Linked DNA regions of Kluyveromyces lactis. The protein of the gene in region 1 interacts with the protein of each later gene in a pairwise test. Links are inferred from orthologs where the notes say so. Each region holds a gene or a part of one and is shown in the gene's direction. Other genes may lie near its edges.

Region 1 (2,805 bases):
TCTGCAGATCCAGAGAAGATACCATGAGTGACAATGGCCAATACCTCCTTAGCACCATGCTCTAATAGTGTATCTGACGCCTTAACCAAGGTACCACATGTATCAGCCATGTCATCGATCAATAGACATGACTTCCCTGTAACATCACCCACAAGCACCATACGAGAAACCTCGTTAGCCTTTTGTCTTTCCTTATGGATTAACGCGAAGTTCAAATCTAGCTTATCTGCCAGAGAAGCAACTCTCTTAGCACCGCCGGCATCAGGCGATACAAGGATCGCATTACCGATGTCAGTTTTATGTTGAATATATTTTAGAACACTTGGTTCGGCGTAAAGATTATCCACAGGAATATGGAAGAAACCTTGAATTTGAGAAGCATGTAGGTCCATAGTGATGACGTGATCACATCCAGCAGTTTCCAACATCTGTGCTACTAATTTCGCTGTGATTGGAGCACGAGATTTATCCTTTTTATCCTGTCTTGCATATGGAAAATTCGGAATCACGGCAGTGATTCTTCTAGCAGAAGCTGTTCTGCATGCATGAATTATAATCAATAATTCCATCAAGAAATCGTTAATCTCTTGCTCCCCTGTACCAGTTTGAATAATGTACACGTCCTCATCACGTATACTCTCCCCGATAGTGACAGAAGTTTCCTGATTAGAGTACTGGTAAACTCCGATGTTGGACAAGCGCAACCCAAGGGTTCTAGCAATATTCTGAGCTAGCTCGGGATGAGAGTTACCAGCCAATAATTTGATGCTATTGGTACTCATTCTTTTACTCGTTTCCATACAGTATGTATATGGTAGATATTACGTTCCAAAAAACCGAAACCAGAGCACCAGATGCAACCAAATATGGAAATTGGATATGGCAACAGCAACTGTCTAAACGATATAGTTGATTATTTCGGACTTTGGTCCTTATCTACAAGTTAATTACTTTCTTGATGTGATTTTCGACTCATTCAAATTTGTATCTTTTCATGATAAAAAACTCTGTTTAAAGCTTTTCATTCTTCCATTAGATATTCCGTACATAATACTATAAGGTGACATGACATAATGATATTTGGCAGAAACAAAGACTAGACAGCAGTAGTTGGCAGCAAATACTGTCATTTCAGCGAACATAGTAAATTAGGTCGTAATACTTTCAGCTGTTAGGCTTTTCCTCGTGGTGAGTACCCCAGATTTTCCCCTTTTTATAGAGAATCCACTGACATTTGAATCGAATTTTTTATGTATTTAAGAAACTTTTATTTAACTTTAAGGTTTTTTGTATCTTCTGCCAAAATGAGAGAAAGAATGCTTTTGTATTGCAATGTTGAAGGATCTAGGAAGGTCAAGAACAGTATATTGTCCGCTGCGAAAGACTTACACAAGTGTTTCCTGTTTTGAAGTTCCAATCTATCGCTCGTTACCATCCCAGTATCTCATATTTGCGTGTTAAAAGGTACGATGGCAAGTATACAGGCTAACAAAAGGTTGACTAAGGAATACAAGAACATTGTTAACAACCCTCCTCCATTCATTATTGCAGCACCACATGAAGATAACATATTAGAATGGCATTACGTGATTACCGGTCCACCTAGCACTCCGTATGAGAATGGTCAATATCATGGAACGTTAACTTTCCCTTCAGACTACCCATTTAATCCACCGGCGATTCGCATGATTACGCCTAACGGCAGATTCAAGGAAAATACTAGACTATGTCTTTCGATGAGTGATTATCATCCAGAGGCGTGGAACCCAGCATGGTCTGTAGTGACTATATTGAATGGCCTTTTAAGTTTCATGACAGGTGATGAACAGACAACGGGGTCGGTGTCAACCTCTGATAAGGATAAAAGGACTCTGGCTAAGAAATCGAAACATTTTAATACTTATAGCAATTTCAAATTCAAGAATATGTTCCCTGATTTAAGAGAGTCGAATATTAAGGACATAGAGAGGGAGGCTGCTTTGGAAGCGGAATCCAAAGGAGCACAACAAGAGGAAAATAAAGCACAGAAACTAGCCACGGAGAAAGCAACTTCACTAGACGACATTTCGGATCCTGAGGATCGAGTAAGAATTCAAGAGCTTATAAAGGCCGAGAAGGATAAGAAAGATCAGGATAAAAATCCTGGCGAGAATAGCAACATCAAATCGCTGCTTTGTCTGATCTTGGCTATTGCGATTTTTTTCGTCGGTTTAATAATGAAATGAGTTCATCAAATATGTTAGCATCTTCTAGGCTCTAAGTGTTGTACAGTATAGTATTATTGATATTATGTTTCCAACTATGGCCACAACAGCGGTTCATATGATCTCGTCACCTGAGATTTCAACAATTTAAGACGGCGTTACATAAAAAATATATAAATAGTCAATTCATAAGAGACAATTAGAACAAAAAAACATACAAAATTAAAAATATCACAATGATTATAAGCCGTAGCCATATCATTGGTCATTTTTGTCGTTCAACATCTTTTCATAAATTCATTTCGCAAGATATTAGCACATATTCATAAGTGCAGCTTAAAGTTCAAAACTTCTCTACCTTTAAAACAACTTTACCATGTGCACGGCCTGTCTGCAGATAGGAAAATGCCTTTTGATGTTCTTTCCAATCATATACCCTATCTACAGGAATAAACTTGACAACTTCACTTTCTATTAGCTCATGACATTTTTTTGGCCATTCATTTGTCGCTAATTTGGCATTTGGATCAAAATAAAACATTTGATAATCGAAAGACCATAGCACCTGTCCGAACAGCTTTCTAATATTAGAACTTGCAGT
Region 2 (2,929 bases), on another chromosome or scaffold:
TGTTACGGTTGGTCTCAAGTATACGATAATGGATTTGGCTTAGCCTATATGATCAATAACGAATTTTTGCACATTAATATCACCAACAAACCAGAAGCTTCTGGATTTAGTGTTGACGAACTACACTATTATTTAACTAAGGCGGCAGATGAAATGTATGAAACTTTGTCTCTACACAACTCTGCCAAGGCCAAACTATGATATAGCACAGGCACCAGTTTATATTGTTTTAGTACGAGTCCATTATATATGATATTCTAACCACTTTATGATCTATTATGAATTACTGAACAAGGATGCACTGGCAACAATTGGTACCATCATCAACCATACGTTAACGGCCTATCTTACCCAATGATTGACATCTTTTCTCTCCCTTCAGTTACTGTTGTTCGCATATCTACCATATTATATATCAAATGAGAATATGGCAAAGAAATTTAAAATCGACCTTATCATAGTGAGTATACCGAGGAAGACACTTTATCACTGGATAAAAGAAGGAAGAAGCGTGCGAAGAGTGTCAATATGAGGTCGGTAGAAGAAATCAATGTGAGGACGTATAATCCTAACATTTATTTCAGCAGTTTGAACCAAACTCATCAAAGTGCAAGGGTCTCGAAACAGTCTCAAACCTCAGCAAGAAACAAGAGAGTCAATTATTCATTGGCTGATTTGGAGGCAAAGATATATAATCAGCCCAAGGGAAGCGATAAAGACGACATAAATCAACTGACAGGATCTGATAAGCATGCCTTGCCTGATTTGTTACGATCTAATAAGCGGTTCATGGAACTTGACACAGAAAACTATCAAGATCTTCGTGAAGTTACAACTCTTCTCAGTAACATCACGGGGCTGAACAAAGATAAGATCGATCAAACAAGCACCGGTATATTATCTGAGCAACAATCAGGCTCAGGTTCATCCAGACAGAGGATGGCCAAGTTCGATTTGCCCAAGTCTATGAATTTATTGTATAAATCAAGCAAGCCGCCTCGGAAATCAAAGAAAAGTTCCAACAGAATATCAGCACTAAGGAAAGTACTTTCAAGCAGAAGGTCTTTACACTCCTATCTAGAAACTTTAGACCAAGTGAACCACACACTCATTTATAGTAACGTTCAAAACAAGAAGTTTTTCAGGGTCTTACCAATGATCGTCACCTGCTCTATGTGTGGTGGTTACTCCAGTATATCTAACTGCGTTGTTTGCAATGACAAGATATGCAGTCTTCGCTGTTATGAATTACACAGTGAAACAAGATGTAACAACTGAGTTTGCTGCTAGCTGAAAAAACTTAACAGCTACTCTCTTTGAACCTCAAAACACTGCTCATGATCCCGTGTTTGTTGCTTCATGTTGATGTCTTTGTAAATACTGATTATAGTATAAAATCGAGGCCATTATCTTTTTTTTTTCATTCTTTCACTTTAAACAATTTTAATACCGATGAAAGAGAAGACTTTAACTTAACTATTTGTTATCGAACAAGACACTATTTGAACTCCTTGCTGTTGGTATTTAGCAGTACGCATCATATTCCATTAATATATCAGACCTTGAAGAATCCTTCACGCTGGTTTTTGGTTTTTATTCTGAGCTATTCTAGTTGAAATCAGTGAAGGTATTGGCGTGGATTGAGAGGTGCGGAAGTTATGTCGAGCAGAGATGATGAAAGTGAGGATGTTCTTGTGATTATTGATGGGAAAACATTTCCTAATATACAAAAGAACGAATTGGACGAGATATCTTTAACGGCATTTATGCTAGGAGTGATTTTTGGTGTATCCCTTATTACATTATGCCTGTCTCCTTTTTGGAACTTCAACATATACATGATCTCACTATCCATATTTCATCTGTTAGAGTTTTGGATTACTGCCAAATACAATCCTGGGAAATTGAATACAAACTCCTTTTTGATAAACAACGGTGTCGGGTACTTTTTGGCCCATTCGGTTGCACTGATAGAGACAATCATAGAACGCCTTCTATTCCCGTCGTTCAAATCTACAACCTATTCCTTTTACAACGAATTTATTGTTACCGTAGGAGTTGTATTGCTACTCCTTGGACAGTATGTTAGATCATCTGCAATGATCACAGCGGGGCAATCATTCTCACATGTTGTGAAGGTAACAAAGAACTCTGACCACACTCTTGTCACGTCCGGCATATATTCAAAGAGTAGGCATCCCAGTTACTTTGGATTCTTTTGGTGGTCTGTTGGCTCGCAGCTAATGCTGTTAAATCCAGTTTCATTGGTCATTTTTATTGTCGTTTTATGGAAATTCTTCAATAGTAGAATTGCATTCGAAGAAAGATACCTCGTGCAGTTTTTCGGGAATCAGTACATAACGTACAGGGAAACTGTAGGAGTTGGTATTCCCTTCATCAAATAGAATAGCCATTTCTTTTCGGTTTGGTAGTTGTAACAGTAAAAATACAATATTGTATATGAATGATTTATGAAGTTTTATGTATATACTTTATGCAGTTCATACTAAAACTTAACGTAATCCTTGTAGAATGTTAATCGGAGGTCAAGTCGATCAAATCGTCAGAATTAAGAGAGTCATTAGGAGGCGGTACATTATTTGAATTCATTATAGCCGGGGAAGGCGATACCTGCACATTGGATATGGGTGAAGGTGCTGGTAAGGTTCCAGAGTCATGGTTCCCGTTGATTTCTGAATGCACATTTTGTGCGTTGCCGTTGGAGTGTGCTCTTTTCTTCGGTAGAACATTCTTAAAATTCTTCTTGGGTAAAAACGGTGATACCTCTGGCTTCCTTCTTCTAGGATCATGGATAGGCGGTGGTTGAGGTAAATTCGGTGACATCGTAGAAGTAGTTGATCTCACTGGCAAAGTTGGTAGAGGTGGTAGTACAGGAACTCCCATGGAAGGAGGTTCTGTGGGCTGTATG

What was found.
Region 2: the proteins of UBC6 (region 1) and STE14 interact in a protein complementation assay, tested with the Saccharomyces cerevisiae proteins (2 studies listed by BioGRID). The link is inferred for Kluyveromyces lactis from reciprocal best matches to the Saccharomyces cerevisiae genes UBC6 and STE14.

Annotation. Positions count from the first base shown.
Region 1 is NC_006041.1:1,813,149-1,815,953, forward strand, and holds UBC6 (E2 ubiquitin-conjugating protein UBC6), read left to right. Parts: upstream 1-1,469; coding exon 1,470-2,225; downstream 2,226-2,805. Other genes in the region: KLLA0_E20373g (ribose-phosphate diphosphokinase), read right to left, coding at 1-800; KLLA0_E20417g (uncharacterized protein), read right to left, coding at 2,548-2,805. UniProt on the Saccharomyces cerevisiae protein: Catalyzes the covalent attachment of ubiquitin to other proteins. Functions in degradation of misfolded or regulated proteins localized in the endoplasmic reticulum (ER) lumen or membrane via the ubiquitin-proteasome system.
Region 2 is NC_006037.1:191,965-194,893, forward strand, and holds STE14 (protein-S-isoprenylcysteine carboxyl O-methyltransferase), read left to right. Parts: upstream 1-1,658; coding exon 1,659-2,405; downstream 2,406-2,929. Other genes in the region: carnitine O-acetyltransferase CAT2, read left to right, coding at 1-201; VPS71 (Vps71p), read left to right, coding at 529-1,278; KLLA0_A02189g (Siz/PIAS RING finger protein), read right to left, coding at 2,536-2,929. UniProt on the Saccharomyces cerevisiae protein: Mediates C-terminal methylation of the isoprenylated C-terminal cysteine in A-factor mating pheromone and Ras proteins.